Linked DNA regions of Oryzias latipes. The protein of the gene in region 3 purifies or fractionates together with the protein of the main gene of each other region. This does not show direct contact. Links are inferred from orthologs where the notes say so. Each region holds a gene or a part of one and is shown on either strand. Other genes may lie near its edges.

Evidence for each region.
Region 1: the proteins of anapc15 (region 3) and anapc7 purify together in Homo sapiens (affinity purification with mass spectrometry; 3 studies listed by BioGRID and IntAct, with this or other methods). This does not show direct contact. The link is inferred for Oryzias latipes from reciprocal best matches to the Homo sapiens genes ANAPC15 and ANAPC7.
Region 2: the proteins of anapc15 (region 3) and anapc1 purify together in Homo sapiens (affinity purification with mass spectrometry; 3 studies listed by BioGRID and IntAct, with this or other methods). This does not show direct contact. The link is inferred for Oryzias latipes from reciprocal best matches to the Homo sapiens genes ANAPC15 and ANAPC1.
Region 4: the proteins of anapc15 (region 3) and anapc2 purify together in Homo sapiens (affinity purification with mass spectrometry; 4 studies listed by BioGRID and IntAct, with this or other methods). This does not show direct contact. The link is inferred for Oryzias latipes from reciprocal best matches to the Homo sapiens genes ANAPC15 and ANAPC2.
Region 5: the proteins of anapc15 (region 3) and anapc4 purify together in Homo sapiens (affinity purification with mass spectrometry; 10 studies listed by BioGRID and IntAct, with this or other methods). This does not show direct contact. The link is inferred for Oryzias latipes from reciprocal best matches to the Homo sapiens genes ANAPC15 and ANAPC4.
Region 6: the proteins of anapc15 (region 3) and cdc27 purify together in Homo sapiens (affinity purification with mass spectrometry; 3 studies listed by BioGRID and IntAct, with this or other methods). This does not show direct contact. The link is inferred for Oryzias latipes from reciprocal best matches to the Homo sapiens genes ANAPC15 and CDC27.

What each region holds. Positions count from the first base shown.
Region 1 is NC_019867.2:25,467,751-25,472,034, reverse strand, and holds the start of anapc7 (anaphase-promoting complex subunit 7), read left to right. Parts: upstream 1-1,484; 5' UTR 1,485-1,606; coding exon 1,607-1,707; intron 1,708-3,396; coding exon 3,397-3,583; intron 3,584-4,284. Other genes in the region: ubiquitin-conjugating enzyme E2 G1, read right to left, coding at 745-787. UniProt on the Homo sapiens protein: Component of the anaphase promoting complex/cyclosome (APC/C), a cell cycle-regulated E3 ubiquitin ligase that controls progression through mitosis and the G1 phase of the cell cycle.
Region 2 is NC_019873.2:15,540,425-15,543,924, reverse strand, and holds part of anapc1 (anaphase-promoting complex subunit 1), read left to right. Parts: intron 1-71; coding exon 72-137; intron 138-261; coding exon 262-399; intron 400-575; coding exon 576-719; intron 720-2,729; coding exon 2,730-2,790; intron 2,791-3,500. UniProt on the Homo sapiens protein: Component of the anaphase promoting complex/cyclosome (APC/C), a cell cycle-regulated E3 ubiquitin ligase that controls progression through mitosis and the G1 phase of the cell cycle.
Region 3 is NC_019871.2:21,813,268-21,817,228, reverse strand, and holds anapc15 (anaphase-promoting complex subunit 15), read left to right. Parts: upstream 1-1,161; 5' UTR 1,162-1,403; coding exon 1,404-1,523; intron 1,524-1,598; coding exon 1,599-1,658; intron 1,659-1,748; coding exon 1,749-1,889; intron 1,890-3,245; coding exon 3,246-3,293; 3' UTR 3,294-3,892; downstream 3,893-3,961. UniProt on the Homo sapiens protein: Component of the anaphase promoting complex/cyclosome (APC/C), a cell cycle-regulated E3 ubiquitin ligase that controls progression through mitosis and the G1 phase of the cell cycle.
Region 4 is NC_019866.2:2,378,332-2,382,201, reverse strand, and holds the end of anapc2 (anaphase-promoting complex subunit 2), read left to right. Parts: intron 1-21; coding exon 22-97; intron 98-168; coding exon 169-372; intron 373-589; coding exon 590-722; intron 723-2,631; coding exon 2,632-2,873; intron 2,874-2,952; coding exon 2,953-3,162; 3' UTR 3,163-3,370; downstream 3,371-3,870. UniProt on the Homo sapiens protein: Together with the RING-H2 protein ANAPC11, constitutes the catalytic component of the anaphase promoting complex/cyclosome (APC/C), a cell cycle-regulated E3 ubiquitin ligase that controls progression through mitosis and the G1 phase of the cell cycle.
Region 5 is NC_019862.2:1,185,939-1,190,003, forward strand, and holds the start of anapc4 (anaphase-promoting complex subunit 4), read left to right. Parts: upstream 1-1,265; 5' UTR 1,266-1,327; coding exon 1,328-1,435; intron 1,436-1,513; coding exon 1,514-1,619; intron 1,620-1,691; coding exon 1,692-1,824; intron 1,825-1,904; coding exon 1,905-1,979; intron 1,980-2,057; coding exon 2,058-2,084; intron 2,085-2,155; coding exon 2,156-2,200; intron 2,201-2,286; coding exon 2,287-2,371; intron 2,372-2,512; coding exon 2,513-2,620; intron 2,621-2,697; coding exon 2,698-2,868; intron 2,869-3,503; coding exon 3,504-3,568; intron 3,569-3,682; coding exon 3,683-3,725; intron 3,726-3,802; coding exon 3,803-3,879; intron 3,880-3,954; coding exon 3,955-4,055; intron 4,056-4,065. UniProt on the Homo sapiens protein: Component of the anaphase promoting complex/cyclosome (APC/C), a cell cycle-regulated E3 ubiquitin ligase that controls progression through mitosis and the G1 phase of the cell cycle.
Region 6 is NC_019866.2:74,751-78,785, forward strand, and holds the start of cdc27 (cell division cycle protein 27 homolog), read left to right. Parts: upstream 1-1,235; 5' UTR 1,236-2,021; coding exon of another isoform or gene 2,022-2,048; intron 2,049-4,035. Other genes in the region: somatotropin, read left to right, coding at 222-365, 439-585, 654-716. UniProt on the Homo sapiens protein: Component of the anaphase promoting complex/cyclosome (APC/C), a cell cycle-regulated E3 ubiquitin ligase that controls progression through mitosis and the G1 phase of the cell cycle.

The DNA.
Region 1 (4,284 bases), on a different chromosome or scaffold from region 3:
AGTAAAGCTAATGAACGCAAATATTAAGTGAGTTGATGCTTTTTCGCAGAGTTTATAAATCATCGTTTGCTTTCTAGCTTAACTGCTGCAGTGCAAACCGTACTTCATGTTCAGCAGATGATCGTGCTTGGCATTAAAATGACATCACTGATTATATTGGTGATGACTCTTAAAATTAGTCAATATAAAAGCAGCGCATTTATTTTCCTGTGTGGGCTTCGTTCGATACTTAAAAAATGCCAACGGGTACCGCTATCATCCTACCAGAGAAAGTGATTAGATATTATCTTACATAACTAAATAATGAGTTTCACATTTTCAATTACGTTTACTAAGAAAATATATGTTTGTGTGTTGCCCAACGTATTACGGTATTCATGTGTATCATTGGTAAAGCTAAACTCAAAAGGGCTGTGAGCCCCTGAATTCATTATTCCTTTGTTCTGCCCGCTAAATAACGCCGAAGTTGCTAGCTTGCTAGGACGGTCGGCGTTGCTGGTCTGCGTGGGTTTTAGTTTATCTTTTATTCCAACGTGACGTTGAAATCATAATTTTGCCACACAAATGGGCATCTAACTCAAGTAGATTGCTCACGTCCTGATAATTTCGGTCATTAAAGCGCCTGTTAACCAGAATCTTACAGCGTAAACATAGCTTCACAAAAGCTAGCATTAGCCTATTGCTGCTACATAACTAGCTGTTTTCTCCCTGTAATTTTAATATCAAAGAATGCGATCACATTACCTGCCAATTGTTTTCGAAGAAGTAATGCTGATTGTTCGGTCATGGTACGCGTACGTAACTAAGAAAAAAACTGTCTGTATAGACAAATATCTTCTGGCACACAGAGAGGAGGTCCTGCGATGCTGCTGCTGCTGCCGCCGCTTGGCTCCGTGTTTTGACACAAGATTCAGGTGCTAGCTTAAGTGCGCATGCGTGCTTCAAGCTGACCACGCGTTCGTGTTGTTAAAATATCTTTCTGCCAATGAATTAGACTTACAAAAGGACTGCATTAAAAATACACAGAATACCTCGTTGTTTGAAATGTTTTCAATTTAGAAATTTTATGTTGGGGCTTTTTGGATATTTGAATTCCGTATGTTTGTTGACATCTACATGTTTGAAGAACTCGTTCGGCACACGAACATAATAATACATGGTTGAAAAAAATAAACAATTATAAAGTAAGCCTTTAATTTTCAATTATTCACGCGAAAGTCGATTTTTGAGCTAAATACAAACATACAGTGAAAAGCAGAAGATGCGTTCATAACCATCGGAAATATCAAATTCACATTGAAGACTGTTACAAAGAACAAAAACAAAGTAACAAATGTTTAAATTTACGTTCATCATGATGAATGTGTAAACTAAAACGATTTAAATAAAAATACTAAGATTGTATGAGGGTGAATTGATTGCGCTCTTAACCTGTCATTCGTGAATCGTCTGCTAAAACTAATTTGTACAGACCTACAAATGCAGCAGTGCACGGAAGGAAGGCTGCTGAGCGCCATATTTAATACATCAGAGGCTAGATATTTTTTAGCTAAAAGTTCTAACTTCACACCGAAACCTGTAGAAGAGCCTGCATTTTTTCGGTAAAATGAATGTTATTGATCACGTTCGGGACATGGCTTCGGCCGGCCTTCACTCCAATGTTCGCATTGTGAGCAGTTTGCTGCTGACGATGAGCAATAACAATCCGTAAGTATGGCTTGACTGGGACCCGTCTATTTCCCGAATGAGTCTCTACGCAAGTGTTTTGTGGTTTTCCTCCGTTGTCGCGACAGTTTTATATATATGAAAAAAACATATTGTCGTAGTCTTTACGCTATTGTTTGAATGCGCAGCCTACACAGCTTCTTTCTACATGCTTAGCTTGTGTTATGAGATGCATACAGTTAGCCTTCACTCCATTACATAGCCATGTGGAGACTTTGGCAATAACAGTTTGGTGAAGTGTCATTGAGGGATGTTTGAACTCAAATCCCCCCACTTTGTTCACATGTATTGATGTTTTCTTTATTTACATTAATCAAATGTTTTCATTTTCCGGAGTTGATTAGATGTTACTATTTGTTCTTTCGCCACATTTATATTCAAGAAGATGTACCAGGGGGGTATTCCAGAAAGCAGGTTATGCTAGTTACCACGGCAAGTTTAAGGCTAATGAAGCGGATTATCTCAGTTTTCGGTACCAACAGTGGAGGTCTGTTTCACAGTATGTCAAGTTGCCATAGCAACTCATGCTCTGAACATAACCCGGTCTGGAACAGGTTTAGTTGAAGGTTAGTTTGTTTTCAGAGAGGTGAAGGCAGCATGGTGTGTCCATTTGAAGATGATTTAGTGGATGAAAAAGCTCAGATAATACTTTTTCCACCATAGAGGGTGATAAGACCACATATGGATGTTGGAAAGATAACATTTGTTACATTGATCTAACTTAATTATTTGCTTTAGTTGAGATAAATCTTTTTTGTTTTTTGTTAAGTCAGTTACGTGTCATGTTGCAAATCTGTTTTGATTCATGCATTTTATTGTTGTAAAAATGAGCATATCTGCAGGCTCAAACTTAAACACATGAGAGTTCAAGAAGTACAATAAATTAAGATGAAAAAACATTTAATTGAATTGGAGTGATATGACATTTAGTTAGATAAATATGTAAATTTGAGTTAAAAAAAATATTGAGTTGGATAGACGTAAAAAATATATTTAACTCAATTTCTTGTTACCAATTGAATTAATTCATTTAAGTTGGATAAGTTTTATAAATATATATATATATATATATATATATATATATATATATATATATATATATATATATATATATATATATATATACACATCACAATGGAAATGAGATAGAAACTCTTGTGTTTACTTTGTCCGTTCTTTTTCTCCAAGCAGAAACTCTCTTTTGCTGATGCAGCCGTGTTACTTTTTTAATCTTCATACGCCGTCATTCAAATCTCCGACTCCGTCTCACTGACGTATAGCGCTCTCTTTTTTTCACCACGCGTTTCCATGGTGACTCCGTAGATCGGCAATCCATTGAAAATGTCTTTATGTACTTGCTGTGCACGTGCATTAACCCAGGGTTACCAAGTGGAGCGTAATTACGCTAACTCATATCCGGTTTTTTGGAACCGACATACCCAGAGTAAGCAAGTTCAGGCGGATTTCAGCCAGAGTTCAGGCTTAAAGTCAGGGTAGTTTAAACATGCTTCTGGAATACCCCCCAGAACTCCCCGTAATCAAAATGTAATTTTTTATACAGCTGCTGTTTTCGTAACGTTGCACACTTTAAATGCGAAGCTAGTGCCATAAAATAGAGGTATTGTGCTTTGTAGTTATTTTTAAATGAAACTTGTTCGTTTTTGTCTCCAGTGAACTATTCTCACCGGCTCAGAAGTACCAACTGCTGGTTTACCACGCCGATGCGATTTTTCACGATAAGGAATATCGCAATGCGGCCTGCAAGTACAGCATGGCGCTGCAGCAGAAGAAGGTGCTCAGCAAAACATCCAAGGTTCGCACATCAGCTGGTGGAGCAGCCTCCAACATGCAGACACAGGTGAGGGCTTTATGCTTCAACACATTTAGGAAAAAAAAATATGGATGGATGGATGGATAGATGGATAGATGGATAGATGGATAGATAGATAGATAGATAGATAGATAGATAGATAGATAGATCTCAGAAGTTAATGGTTGCATCCCTACAATATATGCAAGAAAATAATAACACTGAAGACCATGAAAGTGTCTGCTGGCCTGCTGCTTTTGATCTATGACCAATACTGATCCTAGAGTGGGGAAACTACCTTTTAATCACTTGCATAGACACATTTTTGGCAGCAGACGTCTTTATCTCAAGTGACTCTTGAAGGGCACCTCTTGGTTTGTTTTTCCTCATCTTCAGGTAATATTCAAAACAGTTTTTACATTTTTTTGTGGCATTTTCTTCTTGATGGAGGACATATGTAAAGAAAAATTAACCTTAAAAAAGCATTTCTGAGTACTTCTTTATTCAAATCTTGGTGAATCAGGAGCAGATTTAAAGAATGCCGTTTGAAAAAGATTGTATTTGTTACGGCCACAAGCTCCGTGCTCCGCTCCAATCTGATACATCCACTTGCAGACAAATAGATCCGTGTACTTCTTTGTTTTCCCCCTCCAAGCTGGCATCTGAATCAAAACTATTAAGATGGTTGGATAGTTCCAATATTGCTAGCTATTTTTGTTGCACTAATATGTTTAGGTTGGGGCTGAAAG
Region 2 (3,500 bases), on a different chromosome or scaffold from region 3:
ATTAAAGTGTTGATAACTAAGTTAGATTGTTTGACTTTCTTTGAGAACTGCATGTTCTTTTTCATCCTCAGAGTATAAATGCCATGTTGGTTCTGGAGGCCTGTGGTAGCTTGGTTCTTTACACAGGAATCACCAGGGTAAGTGTTGCTACATGATAGCAGTTTAATACAAAGATGCTCACATATGAACCGTTCCTTTAAATCATTGAGACGGGATCTCTGTGTTGTGGTCTTAAGTTTGGTTTGGTTTTGTGCCCCCTAGGTCAGTAAAGTGTTCGTCCCTGGCCTTCTGTCACCTTCTTTCAGTTTAAGTAGCCAGACCCCCCATCTGAGCACACCTCTGGAAAATGTTAGCACACCTGCTAATTCCAGCCACAGACACATTCAGAGACTTGAAGAGGTACCAGCTTATGCTGCAATTTTACTGTTTGGTTTTGCCAATATGCTTTTGGATTTTTTTCTTTTAAGTTACGAATTAAAGTATGGAAGTTTGATTAATCTTTTCCTTTATGTATATGTTATTTTCTCTGAAGTCACTAAATATTATTAAAATGGTATGATGTCTGTTTTTCTTAGGACAACATGCCTTCACCCCTATCAGATGGTAGAGGTCCAAACATCAAACACCATGAGGCTTCATTTTTAGAAGATTACATCTTTCAGAAAGCTACACCTAACATTCAAACTTTGCGGGATCCTGTCTTCAACAGAGTGACTCTGGTAGATCTGTTTTTGTTGTTTGGATTAGTATAAAATCATTTATTTTTTATTTTCTTTAAAAAATCTTCCCTCCCAGAGAGTTTAATTAATTACGGTAGTTCTCCTATTTTCTAAAAATTGCCAAATAATATCATTAAGATCTTAGAAACCAAGCTATGCATTACTTTTACTTTTGAAATAATTCTATTAATTTTCAGACAAACTTTTGTTTGTATGGAAAGAACTCCTAATTACTAGTTACTTAAACTAACCGTGCTTTGGTCTGTTTGTAAAACTAGTTATAAGATCTGCTTTACTTAACTATCGGTTTTGAAATTAAATTTGAATTGATTCAGTATTTAGTCAGACTTCCTCAGGCGAAAACAAGACAATGCAAGGCTGTATTTTTAATTGTTTTATTAAATGTTGTTATTTTAATTTCTCATTTCATTTCAGATGTAGCAATTTAATTAAGGAAGAAGTAAAAGTAATGTAGAAGAGAACAAGAGACATAAAGAAATCAAAACAATTATTTTTTCAAATACATTTCTATATCTAGTTTCTTTTTTTCTTTATTTTTATTTTTATCTTGATGTGCCATGGGGAGTTGCATAGTTGTCTATCTATTAAAAACTTAAGTCTATTACTTTTCATAGCTTTGTTTATATTTCTTAAAAGGATATAATTTATTTCCAAATTTAGTATTTGTTGCACTCATCCTATTCAGTTAATTGTTATGTTCTGGAATAGAAATGTTTAACTGAGGTTGATCCTTTTTTTCTTCATAAACATGTACATATAAAAAGTATTTTAGTAGTAGTGAAAATTAGACTATACCAAAGGAGGGGAATTTCCCATATTTTTTATTTTACAACCTACATAAAACAGTAGTTTTTCAACGTTTCCTCTCTCGTCAGCACCATGTGTCACGTGCACATTCATGTGAAATTCTGACCAATTTGTGAATGAGAACCAGGAAACAAATCAGTGTTTGTGGCCTCTGGGTTCGTTGAGTCATTATTCATTCCTTAAAGCCCCAGGACCGTAGAAAATGACGCTGACACTTCTTGCTCGCACACAAATTGCCATAAAATCTTCAGTGAAAAACTGTCAAACAGTCTTCAGGCTTTTGCTCTTTTGACTCTGTTATTTGCCATCTCTTTGAGGCATTGACACATCAATCTGATGACTAATTGTTGCCAGTGCAACTCAGTTGGGATTTTCAGAGCATGGAATTTTTGCAGATGGATTCATTCGTTTTGCTTGGTTTAAATTGCCGGAAACATAAAATGTTGACACTTTAGGATCCAAAGTGTCCTTTCTGTAATGTTAGGACGAATTAATTTGGTTCTTTATTTTATAAACATCCACATTTCTCATTAAATAACCCAACTCTCTGCTAACTTTTAGCATTGCTCTATTATTCACTGAAATATGTATTTTAAAGTAGTATCACACCAGAAATTTATAAATTCAGTAAAATATCCCCTTTGGGTTGTTAACAGTTTACCGTAGTTAGAACAGTTATTACTTTGTGATAAGAAATTATCATTAAGCTTCTTAAAGCAAAGAAATGAACAGCTATAAAATCAGTGAAACTACAGCTGGGGTTACCAAATGGGTGGCCAAATGAACTTTATGTGCAATATTTTTCCATAATTATGTCTTAAATAAAATCTTATTTCAATTGTTGTTTCTGTTACCTTGTTAAAGATTTATTTTACACATAAATGTTTTTTATAAAAGCCTTGACTACTGTTTTCATGCTGTGGTATTCCATCTGCCATCCAATCGGATAGTTTCTTACACAAGACATTTCATTTTTCATGTCACAATTGGAAAAGGACAATTGTTTAAAATCAAATTGAGGAAGGAATAATTCAATTTAGCTGCTTTGGTTACGGGCTGCACTTTTAAAAAAGCAGAATGCTGTGACATGCTGCTTGTAGAAACTAAATTATCCTGTCATGACATTGTTATAAATCTGAAATATTCTTGGCAAACTCATCTGCGTTTGTGTGATGTTTCAAGGAACTGAGCAGTGGTTCGATGCTGAGGATCTCCATCCCTGAGATTGCCACGTCTGATTTGGGTAAGCGAACACCCACGCTGGGAACACAGATGTATTTTAGACTTACTGGTTTTTGTTGGTTGGGAATGGTATCTGTTGTTAAAATGTTTAGTTTTTCCATGTGACCACACACTTACATGACTGAGTCACAGCACTCAGGTCATTGAAATTAGGTTTGAGAGCCGCTCTGTGTTTTCAAAATGACGTATAACCCTGTTATATTGAGGATACCCTTAAAAGCCTCTAACACACAAACACAGATGTGCATGCACCAAACCATTATTAATGATTAATGCACAATCCAAGTGTCCATATCTCTGATAATTTTCAATTAACAAAGGACTGTCACATCTTTTACTGTTAATTATTAATCATTATTACAAAAAAAGAACGTTTTTGCTGTTGTATAGTTTTTGGGTTTGATGAAATGACTTATATTTTTGGTAATGATCACATGTTGTTGTTTTTATAGAATAGGTACATCCTTTATATTTTGAAATGTTCACCCGTATCTGAATCACTGTTACTCTCTTTGGGTGATAGTTTATCAATGGATTATCTTTATTAAACACTGTGATGTGTGCACATCTATGTGTGTGCACTCTAGGCAATTTAAAGAAAAATAATTGAAAAAGCATATACACAAAGATGGTAAAATCACAATTAAATAAATGAAAAGATACTTTCTATGGTTTGTACATGCTCATTTAAAATCTTTCTTGGTCACTTTG
Region 3 (3,961 bases):
CTTTTTTCCGCATAAAGTCTGCAGAGAGTCCCACATGTGAGAAAAAAGGAGGCTGTTCATGAGAGTGTGTGATAGGTTTTATTGCATTTTGTAGATAGTCAGGCTTAAGTCAAGGTCTCTTTCTCTGTCTCTTTCACACAAATACAGCCCTGACAGAGCTTATAAAATGTCAGTGTGACCAACAGAAAGCAAAAATGTGGGAGTTCAGACGTGCTTCTGCTGCAATTGTTTTATTTTTCTTTCCATTCACCTGCTGAACTAAGAGGTTAAATTGTTACTACAAATGTGTCTGACTTTGGATGTGTGCTATGTAAGGACCTTACTGCGAAGCCACCATTCTTTTTGGCTGCAGGGTGGTGCATTCTTGCCCCACAGAATGCTCTGGCTCAAATCTTGACTAGGTCCTTTCTGTGTAGAGTTTGCATATTCTAATTTTGACCATTTTAAGTTATAAACACGAACGTTAAAAAAGCTGTTTCTAAGATCCTCAAATGATTAAAACCACAATTAAATTAACATCTTACTTTTTTTTTTAAAATAACTCGCCCAACAAAGATAAAAGACCAAGAAGATTAGCTTATTCTTATTTTTTTAGACAATTTACAGAATCAATATGTGCTGTGGCCTAAAGTTTAGATGCACTGTGGTATTAGATTAAAAATAATGTCAAAGATTATAAAGAGAACCCCCCCCCCCCCCCCCCCAAAAAAAAGCATTAGGGAATAAATGCTAAATCATGTAGCTGTTCCAACAGCTGGAATCAAACAAAAACGTGTCAGCACGCTCTGTTTTTAAACAGTGGTTTAAAAAGTGAGTAGAATTAAATTGTTTGACGAACTTTTTTGGACTCTGACAGTTGAGAGATTCTCTTCACCAAGGTGCTCATAGCGCAACTTGAGTTTATTAACTATTAGCTGTGGGTTTTAAAATTGTAACATTTTGGAAAAAAATATATTTTCCTTTTGGTTAAAGAAAAAATACTTCAAAATTAAAAACCTATCTTCTGTACATCATCAAAAACTTTTCTGACATTTACACAAACATCTATCGATGATTTTTTATCCTAATTTTAAAAAAACCTCACTGATTCCCTTTAATTTTCTCTTAACATTCTATTCTTTTTTTCAAAGCGGAACCTTTGTCAGACACGACACGAGGGGGACATATTATTTGCAAACACCAGCAGTTTCCGGCTGTATTTATTTTTGAAATTTCGACGCCAAAGTGAAACAAGGGCAGTTTTAGACTTGCGAATTTTCACTCAAATTTTTACAAGCAGAGTTCGGAAAGCGTTAGATCGTGAATCCACTCGGAAGGTTTGGCGTTGATAGTTTTCTGTAAACTTTCATCAGCTTCGTTGATGTTGTTGTTGGACCCTCGGCCTCGCGGCACCGCCGGCAGCCATGTCCACGCTGTTCCCCTCCCTGCTGCCCCGCATCACCGAGTCTCTGTGGTTTAACCTGGACCGGCCGTGCGTGGACGAAGCAGAGCTGCAGCAGCAGGAGCAGCAGCATCAAACATGGGTGACCGAACGAGTCTTTTCCGCCTCATCTGCTGTGTCATTTCACCGTTTGTAATGTAAGATCTGCTATCTGTAGTTGCAGAGCATCGCCGAAAAAGACAACAACCTGATGCCTATTGGAAAGCCCATTTTCGAGGTATAAACGTGAATCTGAACAAAGCTGTGAAGCTGCTGGACGCTTAAGGTTCTCCCAGTCATCATGATGTGGTCTGCATGTCTGATCCAGGCAGGGTACGAGGAAGAGGAAGAGGAGGACGATGAGGATGAGGAGGACAGCGAGGAAGACTCAGAAGATGAAGAGGACATGCAGGACATGGACGAGATGAATGATTACAATGAGTCTCCAGATGATGGGGAGATTAATGAGGTGATGTCATGTTTTTGTTTTATGGGAGGACAGGCATCTTTATAGTGGATCAAAGGTGACAATTTGAATAAATACAACATTATAAGGGTGTATTCAGACTGGACATATTTGGTTGAATTAGTTTCCCCCGATAATCCGGAACAAATTTTCATTCTGAATACCACCGCTCTCAGACCGCTCTGTCAAGGTGGTCTGGTTCATTTTCAATCCGACCGATCTTCTGTTCGCTATGAGAATGTATTCAGACTGGGAAAGTCCTTTGTTCCAGATCGAGTCCCAAACCTTGCGTTTGGTCTATATTCAGACTGGCATCAAGCGGACCTTTCTGTTGAGGACCAAAGCTTGTAAACAAAACCACATGACGAAAGATCTCTTCAGTCATTGGCCAGGAACTACGAGGGGGGGTCAAAACAACAAGAGAAGGACAGACGTACTGTCCTTTACAATCCTAAGCGGAACAGTTAACTGCTCAAACTTTTTATTTCGATTATCGCTTTTGAACTTGGGAACAAAACTTTTTACTTGCTACATTGGTACTTGCATGCTGCAAGGCGGTTACTGGCAAGGTGGCGTGCCGCGTGTGCTTTAACTCAGAGGCTGCTAGCAGCTGCAGATGAGGAGACGTTTGGTATGAAGGTATGCTGATAACATCTAGATTGTTAGGAAAACGGTGAGAAGCAATTTGTGTCACGTTAAAAATGTTTTATTGAATCTGCACTCGACCGACCCCATTTCAATGAGTTGCTGTGTCTTATCGTTGTCACAGCATTGTTTTAAGAGAAGTCTGCATACTTTCTTAAAAATGGCAGCTTTTATGTTTGTTTATTTCCATAGCAACCATTTAATTTTTCGTTGCCTGGGGGTGATAAGCAGGTCCATGTAATTTTTAGAAGAATTGGAAAAAGTAAATTTTTGGATTTCCTTGGCAACAGAGGTTTTTTTTTTTTTTTGTTAACCATTCCAACATTTCTAATATAGTCATATCGTTTTATTCAACTTGATCCAACGCTTCATGTAATAAATTTTCACAAGATTTCGATTCAAAGTTTGCGGGCAGCAGGAGAGCAGGCGGCGTGTAGCAGCCGCTCAGACATTGAGGGTGAGTAGAAAGGGGGTCATGAGGATTTGTAGCATCTGCAGCTTTAATTACATGTATATTTCACATAAACTGAATTGGCATTAAATTATTGTTGACACATTTATTAAATGAACTAATGTTGTATTCAATTATTTCAATATGTCACCTTTTGTCCTCCAAATCTTTAATGCTGATGGGTAAAAGTATTTGGTTGCTCAGCTGTAAATCTTAATCTCTTCCAAACACTCGTCTTTAATCCAACTTTGTTTCTTGGGCAGGTGGATATGGAAGGACCAGAGCAAGACCAAGACCAGTGGATGATATAGAGAATGAAATCATTTTCAGTCTCATTCAAGTAATCTGTCTTTAGGTTTGTGTCCCTTTTATAGAACATTGGGGGTCTGATTTCTAACAGAATAAAAGTATTGTCTTAATTGTCTCATTTTGAGCTGCAGACCAACGGAAGCTCTTGACATCTGGACCCGCTAGCGTCCCCTCAAAGACCCACAAACCCTCTGGTGTGCTTTTGTAACTGTCATATCTAAGTGACAGCTGCACACTGTGGTTCAGTGATCTTTTATTTAAACCTTGACCCGGTCGTATCTTCAGTCATGTGCCTTCACTGCTGAGCAACCAGAAACACTGGTGTGGTTAGCACAATAATGCATTACTCATGAAGAAAACAAAAAGACATTTAAAGGTGTTTTAGCTGTTTTATTGCAGTGTTGTGTACCTTTACGGCACTCTTTCAGTAGTGACTTCATAAAGTTATACGATTCTCCTTTCAGGCTTTTAAACTGAATTGTTTAGTTTAGTTACAATAAAGCTTGTTAAAGGATACACCAGAACACACAAAGTCCATGTGAAATTCCTCCTGCATATGTTACAGTGACTTTTATTTATAATAAACATTGTTTTAACATTTTGATCTCGTCATGTTTAATTTTCCCATTTGTATAAATGAAAAATGAATGTGATGCCCCTTTAATGTGTT
Region 4 (3,870 bases), on a different chromosome or scaffold from region 3:
TTGGACTCTGCTCTGTTCCAGGGAGATCCGGAACGTGGAGCTGCTGAAGCTTCGCTTCGGAGAGTCTCACATGCACTACTGCGAGGTCATGCTGAAGGTAACCCCCACACTCGGCAGCTGGACTCTCCTCCGCCAGGAGCTGCAGTTTGATGCGGCGCTCCTCTGCAGGACATGGCGGACTCCCGCAGGATCAACGGCAACATCCGGGAGGAGGAGTCGCGGCTGAGCGAAGACGAGCAGCCGCCGCTGCCTCTGTCCGCCATCATCCTGTCCTCTGAGTTCTGGCCGACGCTGAAGGAGGAGAAGCTGGAGCTGCCCCCCGTCGTGTGCCGGGCCATGGAGGCCTACACCCACAGATACGAGAAACTGAAGGTGGAGTCCAGCTGTTTGTTTTTTCTGGAGGATTCTACAGACAGACAGCTGTGGATCCTCTTTATGAACTAATATTTAATCTGATTGTTCTCAAAGTTCATTTTCTGCTCGTCTTGAAGCCACAGCTTTGATGCGACCGCAGCGTTTAAAGTTCAAACCCAGTTTGTCTGTCCTGAACGGGGTTCTGTTTGGATCCTCATTTCCTCCTGCTCTTCAGGCCATGAGGACCCTGAGCTGGAAGCCTCACCTGGGATCCGTCATTCTGGACGTGGAGCTGGAGGACCGAATCCTGACCAACCTCACCGTGTCGCCCATCCAGGCCGCCATCATCCTTCACTTCCAGGACAAAAGTGGGTTCCTTTGGTTCAGTGTACAGCCTCCACAGTCCACACCACTTCAGGTTTTCTGCTCAGTTTAAGCTTTATGCTGAGATGAGCACACCCCACCCCCCTCCTGCATCCTCACATAAAGAGTCATCTTCAGATGAAGCAGCTTTTCTTCAGATGTTTTACTCTTAAATTTTTGCTCTAGAATTCTCTGAACTTGCAGAAAATGTTTGGTTTCTGCCCTCGTTTCCTTTGGATTACGCAGCTTCAAATTTATGTTTTGCTTCAGTTGCTCCAGAAACTGATCATTTATTTGGTCTGTAATGACACATTTTTTTTTATTCGGTTTAGATCAGGGGTGTCAAACATACGGCCAGGTGGTTTGGTCCGGCCCACAAATGAGTAAAAATCATAAGGATGTTTAAAAAAGAAAGCAAGTTTCTACTCCATTCCTCTGGCAAGTTATGATTTTTTTAAAGAAATAACCGAAATGCGCAATTCCGCCACTAGGGGGAGCAAAGGAAAAGCTTAACGGGTGAAACAACATAACTCTGCATGTGCCAAAAACGAAACCTAACAGCTGTTCTCCAAGAATATAACATTCAGCTCCACTATGAGACTCTCCACAAAGAAAAGTTTCACCATTTGCAGTTAAGAAAAAAAAATATTTAGCAACTATTAGCTGGACCGATAAATAACCATCTGGATTTACTACAGGCGTGACGTCAGTGATGGAGCAGGGAAAGCTAGCTACCTTATTGCAAACAAGTTGGAGCAAACATCCAAACCTTTTTCTGATGATGAACTTATTGAGAAATGCTGAAGGCATAGTAGAAGTCTTGCGGCCCAAAAAGCAGTCGACCTTAAACATGAGTCTGTCAAGAATTACGATCAGATCCAACATCTCTGAGAAAACATGGGCAGCCATATGAAGGAATCCAGTCATTTATTGTATTTTCAGTCACTATTGATGAAAGCACCAACATCACAGATATGTACAGCTGTGATATTTATTAGAGGTGATGAAGTGACGTCACAGTGGAGTTTCTGGAGTTGATGGACACAACAGCTGATGACATAGTCAGCTCTCTAGTTACTGTGCTGGACGATGTTGAAGTGAACTGGTCACATGAAGTAATTTTGGTCACTAATGGCGCCCCATTAAAGGTCAGGAAGAAGGCAGGTGTTGCCACAAAATTCAGGCAGAAACCAGGAATAGATTCTTATAATAATGAATAATAATGGACATTTCATTGTGTTTTGCACACTTGAATGACAGTAAATGTGTTTCTGCACAGCATTTGAATCCTGATATCTATGGACGGGTGAAGTTTCAGGAGAGAAAGGAGGTTAACTCCAAACTCTTATGTTTGCAAGTTTAATTCAGTGTAATTTTGTCATCGTTTGGACATTTACATTTTAGAAACATGTTTCATTTTTGTCTGTAGCCCCTCTTGAATTTATCAGGATTGCTTCAGTGTCAGATTTAAAATATTCAGTCTGTATAAAATTAAATAAACCAATATTTTAAAGTGAAATTAATTTTATTTAAGATCCATTGGCCTCTGTGAATGAATGTGTAATAAGAAATAAGGCTACCATGTTGGTTGAGGCCTGTTTTCCAATTGGGTAAAAAAATAGAATAAAGCTGTTGTTTTGCCTTTACGCTTCTGGTCCGGCCCACTTGAGATCAGACGGGTTGAATGTGGCCCCCGAACCAAAGTGAGTTTGACACCCCTGGTTTAGATAATTAAATGTTGCAGTTCCTTAATTGTCCTGCAGCTTCAATGTTCAGGATCTTCAGGTGACAGAAGATTTTAGCTTCAGTTTCGGCCACGGTTCCGATTCTCGGGCCTTTAAATGATCAGATGCTGCCAGAACGTCTCCAGGTTCCTCCGTTCTCCGTCACTGCAGACGCCACTTTGGGTTTCAGGCTCCTGGACGCTGGAGGAGCTGAGCGGAAAGCTGGGGGCCCCCAAGGAGCTGGTCCACAGGAAGCTGGCCCTGTGGCAGCAGCAGGGCGTCCTGAGGGAGGAGGCGGGGGGGCGCTACTATGTGGTGGAGATGGGCTCCTCCATGGAGAAGCTGGAGAGGGGGGGGATGCTCATCGACAGTGACGAGGAGAGGGACTCCAACACCACCACCCAGTCCGAGCAGAGGGAGGAGAAGCTGCAGGTGAGCGTTCGTCTTTTCCGTGTTTTCTAGATGTTGTCAAATATTTCAAATGACCCCCCCACCCCCGTCGTCTCTGCAGCTCTTCTGGGCTTACATCCAGGCCATGCTCACCAACCTGGACAGCATGACGCTGGACCGCATCCACTCCATGCTGCGGATCTTCGTGGCCACGGGGCCCGTCGTCACGGAGATGGACATCAGTGAGCTGGAGGCCTTCCTGCAGAAGAAGGTCAGGGAGCAGCAGCTTCTGATGTCTGCGGGGGTGTACAGACTCCCCAAGCCCACCTGAAGCAGGACCGTGCTGCGTTCAAGAGCAGCGGGAAAATGCCAACGTGCTGCAGGCTGAAACCTCCTTTGGGTCATCATAAAAGCTCTTTAAATTATTACTTTGAACTTTTCATTCTGGGTTAAATGTGATGGACTTTCTGTGAAAAATGTGGTTCTGAATATTTTCGCATTTATTTAGTTCACATTGAAGAAATAAACTCCCCCTCCACAAAAGTAATCCCATTATATTACAGTGCATTTTGGGTAATGGCACTTTATAATAAACCTGTTAAAGAACATTTTCTTAGAAGATCGTCTTCAAATTCACAAAAACAGTTTATTGCTTTTTTTCTATTGCAAATCAAAGCCAGACGTTTAGAAGCTGAAGACTGAAGTTCTGGACTCAAGCGGTTCCCTTTCAGCGTTTACACTCACTCTGGATTAGCAGATCGGGTTCTAGGGGAGAGTTAGCGGGACGGGCTGGTGTTTGTTCGACAGCAGGACAATTACAGATTGCAGTGAACGCGCCACAGATTATCAGGAGGAATGTTCCAGATCGTTTGTGACGCTCCGTCAGCTGCTTCCTGTTGTGATTCATTCACATGAGGACCTGCCGTCTTCACTGCTGGGCTGTTGCGTCGCATTCATGACATTTTTCTGAAACGAAACATGAACGGGAGCAGAACGCTGCCGGCTGCTGAAGCTCACAGTTCCTGTTGGGTGATTCACC
Region 5 (4,065 bases), on a different chromosome or scaffold from region 3:
TTTTTCTATGTCCTCTATCATGAGAAACATGAGATTTTTTTCAGGAGAAATGTGCTACAAAACATGCTATAATTCCATAAAATAAAATTAATATAAAATACATATTTTGTTTAAGTGGGGCTTTAACTGCTTTTTTCATCTAAATCTTATTTTACTTACTTATTTACCGCAATGATTTGATTATTATGTCAGCGGTCACTAGAGGAAACAACACCGTCAATACAGAGTCGACACAGTCTGGGTAATATGTCAATACACTCATCCTCATCCATCACTACTAAGTATACTTGTAGTAAACTGAAATAGGCTAATATTTGCTAAGGAATTCCATGACATAACCCTGACCATCGGGCTCCATCGATTAAACTGTTGCTAGTTTTCAAGGAGCGGTTTTGTCTTCTAAGAACTTTGTCTCCTCTCGGCTGCCGTTGCTGCGTAGTGATTGGTCGAGAGAAAAGTATGGCGGCGTCTCAGTAGCTGCATAAACGACTTCAGGAAAATCTACCGCCAGACTCTGGATCAACCGTCAAAAGAGTATCTTTAATGTGGATTATTTCTGTGTTGTCATTCTAAGACGGTAAAGGACTGAAACAAACAGAGTCGTGTTTATCCGCTGAACGGCTAACAGCTGGAAGCGTCACATCTCATCTGAACAAGTGAGTTTCTCAGCGAAGAATCGACTTAAAAGCTTTATTTTTATTATTTGGTTTTAGATTAAAGGGTTATGATTTCCTGTATTGATGTTGGCTGAAAAATCTTTTCTTTCTTTCGTTTGATTTATAGTAGAAACGGTTAAAAAATGGACGTAACATTTTTGAAATAAAAATGAATGATACAAAAAAAAAACACAGTTAGTGGATTGATTATATTGTTTGCATTAATTGTTATTATTTTCCTGACTTGTTTTGTTGGTTTGGGCTATTTGCTTTTTAATATGACAGAGGTATGTAAATCTAAGAGGTGTCGTGTTTCATCTGAAAAGCCACCTGCTGTATGTTCCATCTGATCAAATATACAGGAAATGAAGAACAAGAACAGGCTGAATGAATAATGGAGTCATGTTCTGCAGGTCATGTCAGCTGGACAGATTCAGAATACCAACCATTGAGATTTTTAAAAGGTGGAACTGTCCCAGAAGAGCATCGTCCAGTCATTGTCGGCGCCGCTCCACCTGCGGGCCGCTCCACCTACATCCACTTCACCTGTGGGCCGCTCCACCTGCGGGCCGCTCCACCTGCGGGCCGCTCCACCTGCGGGCCGCTCCACCTGCGTTCCTTTCACCTGTGGGCCGCTCCACCTGTGGGCCGCTCCACCTGCGGGCTGCATCATGCCAGCCTTCCGGCAGGTAGGGGAGAAGCAGCTTCCAAACCCTGTTCTGTGTATGGCCTGGTCTCCAAAGAGGGATCTGATCGCTTTGGCCAACACGGCTGGAGAGGTGAGCTTCAGCTCCTGAAAACCCTCTTACTCTTTATGCTGGTTTTTTATCCAAAGTTGAATGTTTTGATTTTCATAGCTGCTGCTGCATCGCTTAGCAAGTTTCCAGCGGGTTTGGAGTTTACCACCTACTGAACGCACCGGGAAAGAGATCACGGCGCTTGCCTGGAGACCAGATGGCAAAAGTAAGGGTGGACTCGACATATTTCAACTTGAATGTGAGGATTTTATACTCTGCTCATCCATTTGATCTCCAGCACTGGCCTTCAGTCTCGGAGACACAAAGCAGATCGTCCTTTGTGGGGTTGAGAAGGCAGAAATCCTTCACGTGTTCCCAGTGCAGAGCGCCGTCACCTGCATGCACTGGATGGAGGTCGTGGATGAGAGCAGGTGAAGAGAGGCTCAAGGGATATCCATGCTTTAACCAAACAGACAGGAATCATATTAAGTTATCGTTCTCTACCTTCCAGCTCCCTCAGCTCTTTCTACAGCTCAGAGGATGAATCCAAACTTTTTCTCCCAAAAATCCCAACCCTTCCAAAAAGGTAAAGCCATGAAGACGTGCATTGCTTCAAATCTCATCTACTGGCAATCTCCATGCAGTCATTGTTTTTCCTCCACAGCTACAGCACAACTTCAAAGATCTTCAGGTGAGACACCATTCATGATGAATGTTTGGAAGCGTTTGAATTTTTCCTGAGTGTTCTTCCCTCTGTCACAGTGAAGAGAAGTCAGATGAAATACTCAATCTCTTGGGAGATGCCAGGTAAAAAAACAAGGTGACAGTTTTTGAGGATTGAATGAAAATGGTTCCACGACTGTAAGAGTGATTTTTTTTTTTTTTCCTTGCAGACTGAATGTTCTTGTTCTTGGAGGAGATTCTGGCTTTGTGGAGCTTTATGCTTATGGGATGTATAAGATAGCAGCTGTGGATGGGGTAAGAAAGCTTTCTTGACATTGTAACAAACAATTAAAAGTGACCAAAGAGGGGTTTTACTTGTATTACAGATTTAATTGGTAGTAATCCTGAAATGCCTGGAGATTGAACTGTTTTTCTTGGATTTATCCTGCTGTGCAGGTGACTGGAACGTGCCGCAATCTGTGTCTATCCAGTGATCTCAGGTCTCTGTCTGTCATCGCAGAGGTCAGGTCTGCTGACAATAACCCAGAGATCTGCTACATCCAGGTGAGGTGATCCACTCTGGTTCTCTCTGAGTATCTATGCTCTGTTTGTGTTCCTAATGCGTCCTCCTTGCCCGTCAGCTGGACACAGGCCTGCTGTCTGACTGCCTGCCTGAGGTCACCCGGATGGCGCTGAAGTTCACCTTCATCTCCACGCTGCTGCAGTACCTGCATCTCTCTCTGACGTGTATGTGTGAGGCGTGGGAGGACATCCTCATGCAGATGGACCTTCGGCTCACCAAGTTTGTTCAGGTTTGTTTGGTAAAGAAATGCCTTTCTCTGGAGGAAGAATCAAACATTTGAGCGCATATTGGCTTAGTACGGTGGCCCTGATGTGCAAATCACATCAACAAATCTCTCACCAGAAAATCATGGTAAATGAAAAAAGCAGACCAAATAATAATAAGGTGGGTATCAGGGGACGTCTCTGATTGGATGATGATGTTTGTTCACCTTTTTGGCGGGAAGTTCTTTGTCATGGCGATCTCTTCCATCAGAGGAGATTTCTTTAAGCTTCTGGCCACGCCCACTGCACACGTTTGCTGATTGTTTAATCAGCTGTTTGCCACAGTTCAGGTGAAACCTTCTTCTGCGTTTCCTCTTCTTCACAACTCAAATGTCATCATCCAATCAGCAATGCCTCAAAGGACCTGCCTCTTCTGGTTTCTCTAGTTCTTTTTTAATTTTAACATTAACTTATGGAAACTCCTTTTTTCTGAATCTTTTTGTTTACATTTCAGTCTCCTGAATTTTGTTTTGATTTCCAAAAGATGATGTTTTTTAGTTTTGCTTTGTTAACTGTCATTCTGGTCTTAACATGCGTTTGTGTTAATGTGATTGGGACCTCAGGGCCACCATACTCAGGGTCATGTCTTCTGTGTTCCCAGGAAAAGAACACGAGCACTCAGGTTCAGGATGAGTTTCTGGAGCTCCTGCTGTGGGGACAGTCCAGGTGGAAAGCAAACCTCCTTTGTTGTCTTCATGGTTGAACTGTATTGCCTGGACCGTCCTGTGGATGGTAGCAGTGAGTAAGGAATTGTTTTAACTGTTTTTTCATCCTTTCCAGTCCTGAACTTCAGGCTCTCCTCATGAACCAGCTGACTGTAAAGGTGAGGAGAGGTGAGTTCAGACTCCACCTCCTTCTGAGGACTTGAGACTGAAATCTTTCCGTTCCTTCACCCTTTAGGGTCTGAAGAAGCTTGGCCAGTCTATCGAGTCTTCTTACTCCAGCATCCAGAAGCTGGTGATCAGTCACCTGCAGAGGTTCGCTCCCCCTTCTGTCCTCAGGTCAGTGCTCCTCCTCATGCTCCTCATGCTCCTCTCTTCTGCCTCCTGCAGTGGCTCCGAGGCTCTGCTGTACCATCTCAGTGAGGTGAGAGGGATGTCTCTGTGGAGGCAGAAGTTTGAGCCCCTGGGCTTAGATTCTGCTGCTATAGAAGGTACGAGTTC
Region 6 (4,035 bases), on a different chromosome or scaffold from region 3:
TTCTTCCCCAGGGACTGCAGCTGACATTGAGCTCTGTTGGTTCATTTGTTAAAAAGTTTATTAATGTTGACTGTTCTTGTTTAACTGAATAAATAAAAAGAGGCGATGCAGAAGCATGGCAAAGTACCCATTTCGGACAGAACATCCCAGTAAAGAAGTAACAGTTAAAACTGATGAGAAGAACACAGCTACTCCTCATTGATACCAGTGTTTGGTTCCAGGTTCAGAAGCTGCTGTCAATTTGCTATGTTCTGGTGGAATCCTGGGAGTTACCCAGTCGCTCTTTGTCTGGGAGTTCTGCTCCAAGGAACCAAATCTCACCCAAACTGGCTGAACTCAAGACAGGAATTCTTCTTCTGATCAGGGTGAGTACATGCACAAACCTGCCACACATGACTTTTGGCTTTGACGTCAATTGTGCTACTACTTGAACTGTAGGCCAATCAGAATGTGGCTGAGATATATGAAGACACCCTGTCTCTTCCACTGGGGGAGTACATAGACTATTATCATGGACTTGGAGCCGATGGCTCACTGCGGCGGACCTACGAACTGCTAGCTTGTTTCAAGAAGGATATGCATAAGGTGAGAAGGAGGATAGCAAGTGTGATATGATAATGACAATGATGACAAAGAAATGTCTGTTTTTGCAGGTGGAGACCTACCTGACTGTGGCTAAATGTCGACTGTCTCCAGAGACAAACTGTATCCTGTAGTCATGCTGCCCCCCACCATGACAATAGACTCCGCTTTTAAATAATTATGTTAGCATTAGCAGGAATAGGAGGTGTCATAATAAAGTTTGTGTTGCATTCTCAGTGTCTCTTTTTCTGAAAACAACAGGAAGCTTAAAGAAACCATGGAATAAAAATCTGAGTTTCTCGTGTTCTCCATACTCCCACCTGTCTTATTCTACATGACAGGGTGGGCAAAGGGGACCTCATCGTAGGAGCAGCTTCACCAGCTTTCAGCTGCAATGAAGCTGCAGCATTTAAGTTTGGCTTTTATTTTAACATTCATGTGCTTCATAAATGCTCTGATTTGCAGCAAAGAAGCTGTTTAGGAGCGGGACAGAAAACTTTTTACTATCTGTCACAAGTCTTCACTTATCTCTCTGAGACCCGTCAATGTCATTTTTACCCTTTCAACCAACAAAACCCATGGGCTTCAGTTCTTTATGAACGAAAAAGGTTTTGTAAAAAAATGTATATTTGCTAATAGAAAAAAAGAATTAAGAAAAAAATTACAAAAAATGTTCCACCAGGGTGTCCATCTTCTGCCTATAGAACTTTTCAGTGTACAGGAGATTGAGGTTCATTTACAAACAGCTGCTTGCTGAAAGCATGCTTTACAAGATATGAAAGCAATATTTCTCTTTCATTAACATTTTCCGCTTGGACCTACACTAAACAATTTGATCTGAAAGTGAAAAGTTAAGTTTCACAGAAAAAATAATGCAGCTAATCCAAAACTCAAAAAAGGAATATTTGAAACAGTAAATTTTAGTTTTGAATTAAAGAATTAAAAAAAAACAACACCAAATTTATACATTTAAAAAAGTTATGCAAACTTTAAGGTGATTATTAAAAAAGTGTAAAAGAATATTTTTGTAAAAGATAAAAAAATTGAATGTTATTTCGTGACATATTTTAGTATTTAACATTAACGTGTTTTAACTTTTGTTTTGTCGAATGAAAAATCTTTCCTTCAAACAAACAAACACGGTGCAGATTTTGCTCCATAACAGCTGATGACATTTTCCGCTACTGACTTAAAAAAGTGATACCAAGACTTGCCAGCAGTAGGCGTCAAACAGCTATTCTACCTGCTATTGCTGTTGCCGCTAGAGGGCAGTGTGTTCTAGGCCTATGGCTCGGCGTTTTCCGGCAAAACTCGGAAGGTAACGGTCGGACGTTCAAATGTTCGGCCGCATCGGCTCCTCGCAGAGATAGAGCTGAAGAAAGCCGTGAAGAAAGCAGGAGAGAGGTCCCTGGAGCAGAGATACAGAGTCCTAAAGCGGGATGACAGTGCTGCAGGAACCTGTCCAGGTAAGAAAACGCCGTTAGGTCGTTGTCACGAACCGGAATACGAACATTAGCCGTCACCGGCCTCAGCATCTGGCTCGCTCAGGCTCAGCCCGAGCTAAAACAGCATTCTTCCGCCGTCGTAGGCCTCGAAGTTCGCCCGGAGCCTTTTCTCCGCGCCTTCCCGGCATCTGCTCGGGGCTGAGCGGTGTGCTTCTTTTCGGTCTGCGGGCCAAGCTTCGTAGAGGGCCGGTTTATCCGCTCCATGGCGCGTAACTTGGTCAGGACGCCGGTCCCCCGGCTGTCGTTGACACGTAAACGGGCTGGAACGTTTTCTCTCCTGGTAGCTTCCGCAGCAAAGAATCGAGCGGAGAAGACAAAGATTTGTCCCCGCTGTGAGACCGTCACTGGGTCAAGTTTAGTTCAGGTTTGGATAGACTAGAGGTGGTCCTCAGGATTTTGGAACACTTGTCTGGAACGTTAGATCTGCTAGCTAACCGGCTAGCGCCTTAACAACCCGCTTTCGACGGCAGGAATAAGGTTCTGTAGCTTCAGACTGAACCGAACCGTTCTCCAGGTTCGCTGTGGGGTTCCCGCAACAGTTCTGCCTCACGGCACCCGCAACATATCACGCTTAGCGGGGCATGGTTAGCGTCGGCTAACCAGCTAGCTCTAAACTAGCTTTTTAGCTAGCTGTTGGTAAACGGAAATACTGCATGTAACCAGCGCCGACTGACGTCACAGCTCAGGTGTGCCGGTCCCTGATCAGGCAGGAGGGTATGGTAATGTTAGAGCTTTAAAAAAGTATTTGCCTTTAAACGTAGATCAAAGTTCTGATCTAATATTCAATAAATATCTAATATTTAAAAATGATGACGCAACCTGTGCCAAAGCAGAACATCAGCAACTTGTGCCAAAGCAGAACCACAGTAACCTGTGCCAAAGCAGAACGACCGTAACCTGTGCCAAAGCAGAACGACCGTAACCTGTGCCAAAGCAGAACGACCGTAACCTGTGGCAAAGCAGAACGACCGTAACCTGTGCCAAAGCAGAACGACCGTAACCTGTGCCAAAGCAGAACGACAGTAACCTGTGCCAAAGCAGAACGACAGCATCCTGTGCCAAAGCAGAACGACCGTATCCTGTGCCAAAGCAGAACGACCGTATCCTGTGCCAAAGCAGAACGACAGCAACCTGTGCCAAAGCAGAACGACCGTATCCTGTGCCAAAGCAGAACGACAGTAACCTGTGCCAAAGCAGAATGACAGCATCCTGTGCCAAAGCAGAACGACCGTATCCTGTGCCAAAGCAGAACGACAGCAACCTGTGCCAAAGCAGAACGACAGTAACCTGTGCCAAAGCAGAACGACAGTAACCTGTGCCAAAGCAGAACGACAGTAACCTGTGCCAAAGCAGAACGACAGCATCCTGTGCCAAAGCAGAACGACCGTATCCTGTGCCAAAGCAGAACGACCGTATCCTGTGCCAAAGCAGAACGACAGTAACCTGTGCCAAAGCAGAATGACAGCATCCTGTGCCAAAGCAGAACGACCGTATCCTGTGCCAAAGCAGAACGACAGCAACCTGTGCCAAAGCAGAACGACAGTAACCTGTGCCAAAGCAGAACGACAGTAACCTGTGCCAAAGCAGAACGACAGTAACCTGTGCCAAAGCAGAACGACAGCATCCTGTGCCAAAGCAGAACGACCGTATCCTGTGCCAAAGCAGAACGACAGCAACCTGTGCCAAAGCAGAACGACCGTATCCTGTGCCAAAGCAGAACGACAGTAACCTGTGCCAAAGCAGAATGACAGCAACCTGTGCCAAAGCAGAACGACAGTAACCTGTGCCAAAGCAGAACGACAGTAACCTGTGCCAAAGCAGAACGACCGTATCCTGTGCCAAAGCAGAACGACAGTAACCTGTGCCAAAGCAGAATGACAGCAACCTGTGCCAAAGCAGAACGACAGCAACCTGTGCCGACTGTTTTTTTCTTAGCTGCACTCAGATT